2 linked regions of the Notamacropus eugenii genome follow. The protein of the gene in region 1 interacts with the protein of each later gene in a pairwise test. Links are inferred from orthologs where the notes say so. Each region holds a gene or a part of one and is shown on either strand. Other genes may lie near its edges.

Region 1 (7,248 bases):
AGAGAGTTGTTAAATGAAGAAAAAATTTCTATCAACTATATGGAAAAATCACAAATAGTAAAAAGAATGCAAGTTAAAATTACTATGAGGTTATACCTTCTTGGCTGCAATGACAAAAAAAGAAAAATGAAAATTATTAGGGAGGATATGAGAGAACAAGCAGACTAATCTACTTTTGGCAGCTTTTTGCCCTGACCATTTTAGAAAATAATTTGGAATTATACCCACAAAGCCACTAAATTATGTATACCTTTGACTGAATGATTTCACTACTAGGCATATATCCCAAAGACATAAAAGAAAGGGATCAAAGAGCAAGATATGAAAGCAAATTCAGAAGCTATCTAATCCAACTCCCTCATTTTATAGATGAGGGAACTAACACCCAGAAAAGTGTAATGATTTGCCCAAGGAAATACTAGCAGTAAGATTTGAACCCAGATCCTCTGATTTGGAACCATTGTACCATGCTGCAGGATCCACATATATAAAAAAATATTCAGAGTAGCCCTTTTTTGTAGCAAAGAACTGAAAATAAATGATTTGTCCATTCAATGGAAAATGGCCATACAAATGATGGTATCTGGATTAATGGAGTACTATTGGGCTATAAGAAATAATGAGAAGGATGGATTCAGAAAAATCTGGGAAGATATGCCTCTCCTAATACAGTGAAGTAAACAGAGCCAAGAAAATAATTGATATAAAGAGGCTAACACTGGAGGAAAGATAATTTTGAAAGACATAAGAATCCGGGTTAATGTCATGTCCAACCACAGCCTCAGAAGACCAGTGTTGAAATATTCTTCCCAGCTCTTGAAGGAATGGTTATGGACTAGAGATATAAGAATGTGACATAAATTTTCAGCTATGACCAATGGGTACATTTGTTTTATTTGACCACACTAACTTGTTAAAGGCAGAGGTTGTTTTTGGGAAGTGGAGAAAAATTTGAATCTCTCCTCTCCTGACCACTCCTGCCCCCCAAAAAAGAGGGGATATCAATGAATCCTTAAAGAGAAGGCACAGAGAAACGAATATGATTACGTTTTAGTTTCATATATAGTTCTTTTTTATTGTTCTCTGTAAAAGTATGCATATTTCTTGAGTACAGAATGACAAAAAAAAAAATTTTAAGGTATTGAAAGGGAGAAAAGACTGAAAGATTACAGAAGCAACTAATGTGAATATGAAAAACAAAATCACCACTGTTCAGAAGAAGTTAAATGAGTAACAGAAGATATAGTTTGTCCCCAGTGGAATCAGGATATAAACCCATATCTATCTTTGTCCTATTTTGGAAACTAGTGAAAAATTAAATGTGGAATTCAATTGACATAAGTGACATCTACATGGAAAATCCCATGCTCTTGTATAAAGAGTAGATCCATGCTTGCATGACATAATTGGGGGAAATGCCACTATTGTCTTTTGGGGCTCTAAAAACAATATATAAACATCATAAAGAATATTTAATAGCATCTTCATCTCAGGACTGAATCCAACCAATATTTATAGAGAAAGTAAAAATATAATCAATGAAATGGTTTGCTATTACACAGCAGGATAATCTCTAGAGATGTTTGGAAATAAACAATTTTAAGAGAATGGTGTACATTCTTCCCCTGATTTTCAAAATAAATATTTTTACTTTCTAATCAACAATATAAAAGCATGGGAAAACTGCATTGGTACTATATTAAAGGATATTCTCTTAAATTTAATGTTGTCATTGAAAATGTATGGGTAAGAATAATAGTATAGGAATAATTTTTTTCCAAACTAAGATCTTCTGTTGGCTGTAAAAGTATGGTGATTTACTTACGTGAAAAAAAAAAAAAAAACTTTTTTCTACTATGTTCTAAAGCAACTATCCTGGGATCAACAATCCTTTGATCTAATCCTTTGAATTCTGATATGTTCGTCAAAATTTAACTAGAAATTGAAATGCCCTGTCCCCAAAGAAAGATTATAAAATCTGATATGTGAGCTGATTTAGAGAGGTGAAAAAATCAGAATTGGTGTGAGAGTGGCTAGAGAGATAAAATAGAAGGATTAAGTTTTTGAAAGCCATCTGTTACTTACATTTATCCAGTAGCTAATCATGATTTTAGGAATTTCCTTTCTATTTGCCAAACCTACTTCACATTCACAGGTAATCAAAATTATGATCTTTTTTTTAAAGTAACAGAAAAAGTAAATCTCTCAAGTTGTCAAAGAAAGAATTTTTGTTGTTGTTGTCGAGACATAGCATTACTTCTCTGTGTAGTTATATTTTCCATTCCCTTAGTATGTCTATGTATTAACCTTTATTCTCTGTCCCTCTCTCTTCTACAATGGAATCCTGTATTTTCCATAAGGAAATTCAGATCACTTGTGGTTGCTCTGAAATGTAACATATCTCTTTTGATCACAGGACTTCCTGTCAACAATTACAGGAATTCAACAAAAGCTCTAGACATTTCCAAAGGACTTCAAGTGCATGAAGCATAAATCTATAGTTTTGATAAGCAATGTTACCTTTTTTACTTCTTATAGCATAAAATAAAGCCAACATTTCTGGTATTTCATTTTCATCTTTTACTACCAAAGTCTGTAAAGTAATATCTTCAGTTACTATCTATATTTGCATGCTAAAACCTTACCTGGTTATGATAACTATACAAATATTTTAAACACAGGAAATATATATGCTGTCAAGATAAACAGTACTAATAGTGGAAAAATGAAAAAAGAATGGGAAAAATACATCCAACTTAGCAAGAAACTCCAAATACGTCTGTTTCTTCCGTTTCACAGACCCACAGTAGTCTTGCTCTGTGTCTTATAACCAACTACTTTTTCCCTTGCTCAGAGAACAACTCATGCTCTACCCCAGCAGGAAAGTATAAAAATTAAATAGAAAAACCACAAGGTTATTAAACACTCTTACCCTCTGGACTTGCTGGGCTGCTCTTGCTTCTCAGTGTTACAGACACATGTGTAAACAACTGAATTTCCTGCATCCTTTCCTCATCTGTACAGCTCTGGGGTCTTGGCCAACAGGATTATATCCAGCATTAAGGCCACTCCACACTAACTCAGAAAGGATTCCCATTGGTTGTGAAGCTTTATCAAAGCCAATACCACAACAGACTCTTTGGATTTCAACTTAGCTAACCAAAATAAATTCTTTTTCTACTGTCCCCAAACTAAACGTGAGTTTCCTAAGCTTTCCTTCCCTACCTTTTCAAACTATATACTATGAACATATCAGGAAATCTAAACATAGTGTCTCATTAGCAAGTTTTCTACTTATTTTCATGTCATTATATTCAGCCAGTCACTATTTTAAATGCAACAAAAATGCCAAAAGAAAAACTACTAATGAACAAATCTGCAAAGGCAAGGCATAAACATCCTTTGTTATAATTAACAATAGAAAAATATCTGCAGTATTCAGTATATCACTGTAACTTGTTTTGTAAAAGAAACGCAGTAAATTTAACGAAATGTTCTGGTAAATAAATCACAGTTCAAGATCTCTGTCAGAACACTTGATCTCAGTCAGACTGATAAGAATTCTGAGTTTCCAAGTCAAGGACCCCCCAGTGAGAGAATTTTGGCTCTGAATCTCAGTGGTTTATCTGAGTGACTTTCCATTGACATGACTCAGCTGTCAAGATCCACTGAGGGAGTGGTGATGTTTTATCCCTTTAGGGATGCAAGTAAAAAAAATATTTCAAAGGTTAACTCTAACATTTCAAATTGTCCAGAGGAAAACTAAATGACAAAAACATCATATAACAGGAAAAAAAAATTTTCCTTCAATTATTTGTATTTTCTCTCCCTTTGGTTTAGAGGATTAATCTTTGTTATTAAATAATGTGATGTTATCTGCATCCTCTGGTGGCAGTAATTCAAATCAGATATGTACCCAATAGGCTACTAATTATACTGTCCTGGTCATATGAAAAGTTGAGAAAGAAACAGCTACAAGATTCCCATTGTATGGAAAGCCAGAATTAGATCCTACTGGATGTATCACAGACTCCACAACAAAGACAACTCACAATTGCTCTAAGAACAAAAAGAAACACCTATTTTGCTTTTCAAATCCTTATCATCTTTCCCTTCTGCTTTTTTTTCTAGCAGCAGAACAGGTTTTTTGACTCAAGTTCTTCTGAGAGCTCTGTCAATTTTTGTTTGGCTCTATGCACCCTATCTTCCAGATCAATGTTTTGCTTATATGGAGATCATACTTTCTTTTCATTTCAATAATAGCATTACTTTAATATTATTGCTTTTTGCTTGTCTTCTAGATTGTCCTTCACTATCATGTAGTTACATTCCCAATCAGTTATCCTCTCTAGTTTCTGTGTTGATATGTGTCACTGTGAATTCAAATTTTTCTATTTTGTTAATTATCTCTGCTGTATAGGACATAAATTCTTTTACAATTTTTATTTCTCTTTTAAACCACTCATGGACATGTGGGGAGGGTATATAATTGAGCTCTGCTTCAAGTCTATTGGTTGACTTGTACAACTCTGCTACTAGAGGGTGGGTGGGGAACATATGCTAACTGAAATTTGTTAGCGTCTAGAACTTCTTAGATTTAATTCACTGAATTTTTACCTCATTTGAGTTCTTGGTGTTCTCTCTTACTCATAATTCCTATTTCTGAAAGGTTAGAAAGATTATGAGAATCAGAGATTGCGTCTGCTCCTCCATTTTGCTAATCATATGACCTTGAAGTCGATCTGTCTATATCATTCTCATTCTGTCTCTGTCTCTGTTTCTGTCTTTGCGTGCGCTCTCTCTCTCCCTCCCTTCCTCTCTCCCTCCCTCTTTCTCTCTCTCTCTCTCTCTGTCTCTCTCTCTCTCTCTCTCTCTCTCTCTCTCTCTCTCTCTCTCTCTCTCTCTCTCTCTCTCTCTCTCTCAAAACAGGACCAGATTTAGGTGATCTAATTTTAAATCCCATTCCACCATTACATTGTTCCATAGCCTTGAGCAAATCATATATTCACCTAAGGCTCAGTTTCCTGATCTATAAAATGGAGTTAATTATATTTACAGAACCTTCTGTTCAATGAAGTTTTTGTAAGGAAAGCATATATTGTAAATTGTGAAATGCTACATAAATACTCACTGCAATTGTAGGTATTGAAAAGATGTGTAATGAATGAATGAATGAATTCAAAATGAATCATAGAATCATTAAGCCCACAAAACATTTCACACCTAATTTTTTAAAAAGTTATTTCTATTGATGACTTTTGTCTTTAGCTTCAAATCTATTTCTAAATATATTACTCACTCTCCCCACCCAGTAAACCACATATTATAATAAACACTTAAAAAAGCAAAGAAAAGTAGTTTAACCAAAGAAACCAATATATCAACAAAGTTTAGCATTATATGAAACACTGCACATTCATGTTCCTCCACCTCTCCAAGCATTTATTGAGTGATTTTTGTGCGAAGCACAATCTATGAGCTCCCACTTTTTTGCTAATTCTTCCTTTCTAAAAGAATGCTGCTGTGGTTTGCTTTTTTTTTTTTTTTTTTTTTTTTTGGTATATAAATGATCTATCTTCATACATCAATTTCCCTGGTATATGCTTTTTATACTGTCATAGCATATATGGGCCAAAGCACATATGGACACATTAATCACTTTTTAGTATAGTTCCTGATAGGATTCCAGAAAGATAACATCAATTAACAATTTTACTTTAGTGTGCCTGTATTTTTTCAGACCCTCTATCTTTTGTAATCTTCTCCAGTTTGCCAGCTATGTTTAATTCTTAAAATTCTTTGATTTTTATTCCTATCATTATTACTGATTTGTTAGTCTTTTTTATTTGTTTAATATTTTATTTTTTCCAATGCATGTAGAAATCATTTTTGACATTTTTTAAAATTTTGAGTTCCAGATGCTTTCACATTCTTCCTTCCTCCCCTCCAATCCGTCTGAGACAACAAACAATTTGATATGGGTTATACATGTCCAGTCATGAAAAACATATTCTCATATTAGTCATGTTGTAAAAGAAAACATAAACTCAAAAAAAAAAAAGAAAACACAATTTAAATATGCTTTGATATAGTACGTTTCAATCCACATTCAGACTCCATCGGTTCTTTCTTTGGAGGTGGATAGCATTTTCTATCACAAGTCTAGCAGAATTTTCTTGGATCTTTGTAATGCTGAGAGTAGCTAAATCTTTTACAACTATTGACACAATATTACTGTTGCTGTGTACAATGTTCTCCTGATTTTGCTCACTTCATTGTGCATGAAAATCTTTCCAGGTTTTTTTAAAGGATCCTGCTCATTATTTCTTATATGACAATAGTATTCCTAGTGCAACCGTATACTACAACTTATTCAGTCATTCCCCAATTGATGGGTTTCACCTCAATTTCCAATTCTTTGTCACTATAAAAAGAGCAACAATATTTTTATACACATAGGTCCTTTTACTTTTCATAAAAGTCTCTTTTAGGTACAGATCTAGTTGTAGTATTGATGGATCAAAGAATATGGGCAGTTTAATAGCAATTTGCAAATAGTTTCAAATTGCTCTCCAAAAATGGTTGGATCAATTTACAACTCCACTAACACTAATTACTGCCCTCATTTTCCCATATCATCTCAAACATTTATAATTTTCCTTCTCTATCATATTAGCCAATCTGATAGGTGTAAGGTGGTACCTCAGAGTTGTTTTAATTTGCATTTCTCTAATCAATAGTGATTTAGAATATCTTTTCACTTGACATAGATAGCTTTGATTTCTTCAACTAAAAGTCACCTCATCATATTCTTTGACCATTTATCAATTTGTGAATGACTTGTATTCTTATAAATTTGGCTAAGTTCTCTTTACATTTGAGAAATGAGATCTTTATCAGAGAAACTTGTTATATATAATTTTTTCCATTTTCTGATTTCCTTTTAATCATCTGCATTAGTTTTTGTTTGTACAAAACCTTTTTAATTTAGTGTAATCAAAATTATCCATTTTATAAACCATAATGTTCTCTATTTCTTGTTTGGTCACAAATTCTGCTCTTATCCATAAATCTGAGAGGTAAGGATTTGTTAAATTCTTTCAATTAGCTGTTAATAATTTGAAATTCTTTTCAAAATCTTTTGTTGCAACCTTTAATGAATTATTTAATTGAGGAATTGTTCTAAGATATTTTTATGTTGACTATTAGATCTAGTAGATCCATACTAGAAAATAGTTGATGAAAAAA
Region 2 (7,275 bases), on another chromosome or scaffold:
GTATCATCCTGACTTACATGCATTGATGATGCATAATTACTTTTATGCTGTCAAATAAGTGTGGTTCTGTTCATGCAAGATATCTTTCCCCAGAACCAATGACTTCTATATAGCTTAGTCTTAGACTAACTGACTTACTTGCTCATGGTCCAATTTTTAATAAACATGTAAGGCAGGACTGGAACCCAGGGCTTCCTAACTGTAGATCTAGCATTTTATCTACTATGCCAGACTACCTCTCAATTATTTAATAACTTATAAAAAATAATAATTTATATCATAATTAATACTATAATCATTGAAATAAATTGTAATTCTTTAGATTATAATTAATTTAATAAATGAATTAGATCTATAGATATTATTGTTGTAGATATTATTTTCCATCATTTTGAATTTTGAGATTTCCTCATAGATAAACCTTCCCTGCTTTGAAAGAACAACACTTCTGTGTGTATGTGTGTTTAATTTTTCTGCAGCATCACTAAGAAAAATAGCCAGAAAGGCCTTTCAGATTCTAAACCTTTATAGCTCCTCTAGAATAGATCAGAAAGTCCATGTGAAGGCTAAACCTGCAGAAATAAAGATTACCCAGAGGTGGCGCTCTGGTTAAAGTACACCTGGATTTTGATTACCGTGTACTGATTTACTCCAGATGCCTCTGAAGAGACATCGTTAACCATTATCTCTTTTGTATTTATGCAACCACAACCTCAGCAAACAAACATCGCTGGTAAAAACACTTCCCTCCACATGGTCGGTGAAGATATTACTCCTCAGACCAGAGGGTTTGAACATCCTTTAATCCAGGAGCAAACCAGGAGGCCTCTTTTAGCTTGCTTGAAGAATCACAGAAGAATCCACATCTACATGGGCCTTGCCAGTAGCCTAGCTTGCCCTTAGCCCTGGATAGGACTAGCTTCATTCTCACCTCGATGAAGGGCATTTTGCTTGAGAAATATACCTGAAATGTGCTTTTCATTATAGGCCTAAATTTAATTGTACCCCCCATCATGAACTGGTGTTATTTCACTTTTATGCTGGTAAATTATTTACATGGGAAAAATTGAGTTAAGAAATTAAGATCTGCTACTTCGATGTGCATAGAATTCTCTCTTCTGTTTGGTTTTGTCTGAGCCTTCTCATAATCAGATAATCACAGACTGAGTGGAGGTTTTGGTTTGGAGATTTTAAGGCGCTGTCTTATATTTCTACACTATTGAATCCTTTAAGATCACATTCCTATCTGTCATAACCATGGCAGAGTGAACCATGGCAAGACCTGGCCTCACTGTCCCACCTCTGACGCATACTGGCTATGTAAGCCTATCCAAGTTCCTCCAATTTCTGTATATAGATTTTAATGTATTGTCTTGTCTCATTACAATGTGAACTTTTTGAGGGCAGGGACCAAGCATTTGCATTTCTTTCTATTCTGAGCACTTAACTTAGCACAGTGCCAGGCACATAGTAAGCTCTTAATAAATGTTTGTTAACTGATGGACTAACTTCTTCCTCTTGTAAGAGTGTCAATTACAGAGAGGTTGCGAACCTGAGGGAATTCCTTAGTACAGTTCCAACCCAAAGTGAAAGAATTAAGAATATTACAAGTTTTGATACTGATGGACAAATTTCAGCATTGTGATATTTTAAGTTAATTGAAGAATGTTAATTTAGATATCTAGCAGAACATTCTGTATACTTTGCAATATACTACAATGCAAAGTATGCCAGATGGGGATTCTTAGGACCTGAGTGTGAATTCTGACTCCAACCTTCACGGTGCATGGTTTGGAGCACTTTTCTGGGTCTCAGACTCCTCATCTCTAAAATGAAAAAGTTGAACCAAATAACTTCCCCTTTAGCTCGAAATGTTGGATACTGAAGTTGTTTATTTTAAACCATTTTCTGCTATTTTGGGTGCATAGTCACCATTCAGATATTATTGCTATTTCTTTGAAAGCCTGAATTTTGAAAATCTGTAAAACTTGCAGACAGTAAAATCACAGCCTGTGAAGAGGGAGCCCTTCTAACTGGGTTCTTTGGCCAGTCTTCTTGTCTTCTCATCAGCACAGAGTATGGAAGAGATAAATTTATCCCACAGGGCTGATTTCATTCCATTTCCTTAAAAGGATGATAAGAGGTTATAGTCCAAAGGGAAATTACCATCACCTAGTCCTATCAGAAACTGAGATACAGAGAGGTTAAGAGGCCTTGTCTACTATCACTTAAGAACTGTAGGCTCAGGAGTCAGACCCAGTTGTCTGACACCAAGGCCCAGACTCATCTACTAAACCGCAGCTACCAAAAGGCCTTTGTCCTTGCACAGCTATTTTCCAGGACCATCCCTCCATAACTTTCTACTAACAATTAGACCTAATATTGGCCCAGCAAATAGGACTTTTATTACCTCATTTGCAGCTTAAAGTTGAATCCTGAGTTGAAACTTTAGAAGCTGACAGCAGGAGGTAGAGGGAAGAGAGACCCACTTGCAGGTTCTTTGACTGTGGGTGTTCCTGGGCTCTAACATGCTGAGAACATTGCCTCCAAACATATGATTTACGTTGAAAGTGAGCTTCCTTATTCTCCAAAGCATGCATGATTGCTAATCTGGCCTTATTGTTCAAAACTTTGCTTCTGGATGCCTGGGAGAAATGGGTTCCTCTTCTCCTCAGAGCAAGCTGACAAAGGAGGGCATGCCCAGTTAACGCCTCCATCAGATTTCTTCAGCTTTGTCTATGAGCCCAGGATCATCACTGAGTGTTCCCTGAGAGTCTACTAAGTGCGTTGGTTTATGTCTCGGTCAAGGGAGATTAAAAAAAAAGTCTCCCCTCTGAAAATTTCGCAGGGAAAAGCAAGATGATTGCTGTTTTCCCCCCATTAACAAAACTTCCCTTTAAGTTTCTGAACCCCAAACATCAGAGCTAACAACTTTGTGAGTGTGTGTGTGTGTGTGTGTGTGTGTGTGAACCCCACCCGTCCCTTGCTCCTGGGACAACAGCAAAACTGCTGGATTGGAACTTGAGGACGCCCCCTTCACCCATTTAGGGGGGTACGGGAGTGTCTTCTGTGAGAGATGCCAAAGTTTTCCCAGGGCCTAGACTGGGGATGTCCCCGAAATCCTTGAGAACTAGGAAGCGTCCCTGGCTCGGACACGCAAGGGAGAGTCCTGCGGAGGCAGGGGCAGCGGCGGGCAGCAGCGGGGGTCCCTGCGGGCTGCCGCCGCCGTGCTTCCCCACCTGCCGCTGCCCTCTCCTTTCCCCCAGGTTCCCTCCACTTCTTTTCCTCCTCTCCCTCTTTCCTCCCTCCCCCCCGCCTCCGGTTTCAGTCATCCCTTTGTCCTCCCCCGGATTGGCAGGTTTTATTATTCCGCCTGAACAATCCGGCCGCGCAGTGGCTGAGGGCCGCTGACGTCGGCGGCTGAGCTGGAGAGTAGTTGGGATTCTGCTCTGTCAGTAACACATGTGTAAGAGCCGCGGAGGGAGAGCGCGAGCGGGCGAGAGGCCAGCGCCGCCTTGGAGCCGGGCAGCGGCGGCGGCAGCAGCGGCAGCGCGGACAGCGGCAGCAGCCCGGCCTCGACCCGGCTGTCGGGCTTGGCCCCGGCTCCGCTCGCGCCGCAGCCCGTGCTGGCACTCCTGCGGAAGGCTGCTCTGAGTGGCCTGGAGGGACTCCGCCTGCCCGCCCGCCCAGCGCCCAGCGCCCGCCCGGGCTCTCGTTGTTTCCGCTGCTGCCGCCGCCGCCGCTTTCTGGATCTCAGCAATCGCCGCCGCCTCCGCCAGACCAGAGCGAGCGAGGGAGGGAAGGAAGGAGGAGGAGAAGGAGGAGGAGGAAGGGGGGGCCGGGAGGGCGGGGGGGGGGGTGCCGAATATACAAAGTGAAGCCACATTGCCAAACTTGCAGCAGCGACTGCAGCAGTCGCCGCCGCCGCGCCTGAAGCCGAGCTGCTCGCGGGGCCCGAGAGCCAGCCAGCCAGCCAGCCTTGCAGCTGCTCGGGCGAAGCTGGAGGAGGAGGAGAGAGAGAAGGACTGAGACGGAACCCTCCGCTCCGGGGCCGGGCGGCCACTTCGCTGGGGGGCACCCGACCCACCAATAGAGCCGCGCATTAAAAAAAAAGAAAGAAAGAAAAAAGATTACCTTGTCCCACCCCTCCTCCTCCCCCCTCCACTCCACTTCTGCAAGAACTCGCTCCCTCCCTCCCTCCTCCTTCCTCCCATCCATCTATCCATCCAGCTCCATCAGTCCAGCAGCCCGGGGAAGCCGAGCGAGCGGCTCCGCGGAGATCTCGCCGCCGCCGCCGCCGTCTTTTTGCAATATAGGGGAAAAACAGGTAAGCGGACTTGCTGGGGAGAGGAGATGGGGCGGGAGGTGGGGGGGAGGGCTGGGGGTTGGTGGTGCTGGTGGCCCGGAGACCGGGAAGGGGGGGAGGTGTCCTGTACCGTGGTTGTTTTCTTTGGCTGCTTTCCCTTCCCCGTCCCAAATTGCAAGTAAACAATACGTCGGCTTAGATAATGAGGGAGTCTGAAACTAGAGGAAGGCAGGCTGGGGGGCGGGCTGGCAGGCGGGTGGACCGAGCAGGAGGCCGGCAGGCCGGCAGGCAGGCGAGCACCAGGGCCGTCAGCTTTGTAGCGGTCCCTGCTTACAAAAGGGTTTGTTCGAAGAGGAGGGCTTGGGGGGGGAAGGGGGGGAGCGCCTTTCCAGCCCAGAAGTGAAAGGCTTTGCCTGTTTCGGTTATGAATTGAGGTGGGGAAAAATAGTCTTGCCTCCCTCCTCCCCCAACCCCCCTTCGCCCCCCAGTAAACACTATTTTTGAAACAGTGGCAGAAAGGATCAAAGTGGGCAGGGTTTTTGTATTGGTGTCTTTTTTTTTAAAGAAAAAAATTCCTTTTGGCTTATAAGTCTTTTGTTTCAATCCAGGAGAAATCCGGTGAATCACCTAATTAAAATCAAGACATGAATTAAGCATCCATTTTTGTACTACAAATTGCCAGCCCTACGCCTGTCCCTCCCTTGGTCTCCATTAAAAAACACCAGAGACGTTGTTAAAGGGGGGCTTATTTTGCCTCTAGCTGCCAGTTCTGCTTTCTGTTTCACTGACTCTATCCCAGGACCTAAATTGCTCGGCTATGTAATTACTAGAATATAAGCCTATTTAACTTAAAAGCTTTTCTTTTTTTTTTTCCAACTCTAAATGAAACTTGATGAGGGCCCGTCCTTAGTTATCTGGGGAGTCAGTTTCTGGTCAGTCCTTGATTCATCATCTCTTTTAGATTTAATCAGCATTAAGGTATTGCTTGTCCTTAAGAGCTTTAGCTAATGGGGTTACTGGATGCTTCTGCTCAGTGTAATGTTTCCTTTAAAAAATTATATATGTACATACACATATGTAATACACACATTATAGAGAATATACACACATACATACACATATATTTACATACATATGTTTACTTCACAGCAAAGATTCAGGATAAGCAGCATGGAATCTCTCCCCGTCTCTCTGTCTCTGTCTCTGTCTCTGTCTCTGTCTCTCTCTCTCTTCTCTCCCCCTCTCCCCCCCGCCCCCCTTTTAAAGGAATTCAAAGCGATTAGAACGTAAAGGGAAACATTTTTAAGACTCTGGGCAGGAAATGCAGATTCATTTGGGTTAGGGCTGAAATTGTAACAAAAAGCAATTCCTCGAGTAAATGCATCAGATAAATCAATTTACATAAAGGTATGATGCATTCGGATAAATGCAATGCTAATGGGTTTTAGAGTGGTCCTGTTTCCAAAGTCTCGGGGTTTTGTTACAGCTTAATTGGTGGAGTTCTTTTTCTGGTTTATTGTGTGGTCACTAGAGACACGTTCAGGGACGCTTTCGGAGGAAATGTGTTTAAAAATCGGCCTATTTTAGGAACCCGGGGACTTGGGGCTTGGTGCCCTCCCCTCTTGCCAGCTACCAAGTTGGGCCAGGGGCAGGCAAAAAAAAGTTCGCCGTCTTTCTTCGGAGGTATCAGTCTGAATGCCTTTAGGAGATGGCCCAAAGCCTTGGTATGAGTACACACACTCGGCTTACAAAGGACAAAGACAAAAACATGCTGCTTAATTGGCAGTAAATAACTTGATCTTTTTATAGTATAAGTGACTGGAGGAACACTAGGAGTTTATTGGACTCGGGATCGGAGGCCACAAATTAATCGGTTTAGTCTAAGCTTTATAAATTGATTCCTATATTATTCCCCCAGTTGCTGCCTCTCTTGTGGCATTCATTTAGAAAGTGTGGGGGAATTTTTTTAAAAGCAGTTTTTGGTGACAGCCTGGCTAGCTCGAATTTAACTAGTGTATCCCTTGATCGTTCTCAGATTATCCCCAAAGTTCTTCCCTCCTCCTCCTTCTCTCCCTACCCCCCCCCTTTTTTTTATGGAACAAAGCTTTAGCATTTAAATTACTGATCAAGGGCAGATTAGCGAGACAAAAGTGGAGTGTGTTTGTATAGGAAGTTAACAGGCGTCCTAAAGTTCAATGATCTATTATTCTGGCCGGTGTCCTGAAAACCCAGAGAAAACACTCATTGATCTTCAGAATGAAATGAGATTTGGAACAATAATGGGAGATGGCCGTCACCACAATGGCATGTGAAAGGTGCTGTTTAAAAAATCCGAAAAACCAGTTTCGCAACTTTACACACTGCACTGTTTCCCTCTCTCTCCCTTTCCCCCCACTCCCATCCTCCATCCCCCTTTCCCCTCCCACCCCCACTCCTTCTATTTCCCTCTGCTCCCTCTCTCTCTCCCTCCCTCTCAGGAAACTGAAGTGTTCCCAACTTGAGCTCCAGCTGCACTTCCCAGAGTTGGGCATGATATAGGGGTAGGGGGCTGCGGGGGGTGGGAAGCCTGGGCTCGGCCCACTGCTGCTGCTCGTCCTCCTGCCTCCGCTGCTGGGGCTGGGGTAAATGACCCTCATTTGCTAGAGGCTAGATGCGTGCCGAGGTGGGGGTGGGGGGAGATAGGCGGAGGCTGGGGGCGGGGAGTTGAGAGTGGGTGGGTGGGAAGGAGGGAATCGCACTGCAGAGCCTCTCTCGCTAGAAGACTTTGACAGTCGCCAAGCTGAAGTTGTCAGTGTGGGCTGCTCAGCAAAGTTCCGAGGGAGCCTCTTGGATTCGGAACCGAGCCCTGAGAACAGTGCTTTGGAAAGAGGGTCTGGTTTGTGCCCCTTCCTTCTTTGCCCTATACCACTGACCTTACCTCCCCAGCCTGTCCCCTACTCAGCAGCAGCCCTTTGGGGGAAGCACATTTG

The links.
Region 2: the proteins of CCDC102B (region 1) and LMO4 interact in binary tests that used the Homo sapiens proteins (3 or more experiments, as listed by UniProt). The two-hybrid records come from large-scale screens. The link is inferred for Notamacropus eugenii from reciprocal best matches to the Homo sapiens genes CCDC102B and LMO4.

Annotation. Positions count from the first base shown.
Region 1 is NC_092875.1:218,775,575-218,782,822, forward strand, and holds the start of CCDC102B (coiled-coil domain-containing protein 102B), read right to left. Parts: upstream 3,045-7,248; 5' UTR 2,933-3,044; intron 1-2,932. UniProt on the Homo sapiens protein: During interphase, forms fibers at the proximal ends of centrioles to maintain centrosome cohesion. During mitosis, dissociates from the centrosome following phosphorylation to allow centrosome separation. Contributes to CROCC/rootletin filament formation.
Region 2 is NC_092873.1:497,021,302-497,028,576, forward strand, and holds the start of LMO4 (LIM domain transcription factor LMO4), read left to right. Parts: upstream 1-4,191; 5' UTR 4,192-4,327; intron 4,328-6,773; exon of another isoform or gene 6,774-6,927; intron 6,928-7,011; exon of another isoform or gene 7,012-7,181; intron 7,182-7,275. UniProt on the Homo sapiens protein: Transcription cofactor. Plays a role in establishing motor neuron identity, in concert with MNX1, acting, at least in part, to disrupt LDB1-LHX3 complexes thereby negatively modulating interneuron genes in motor neurons.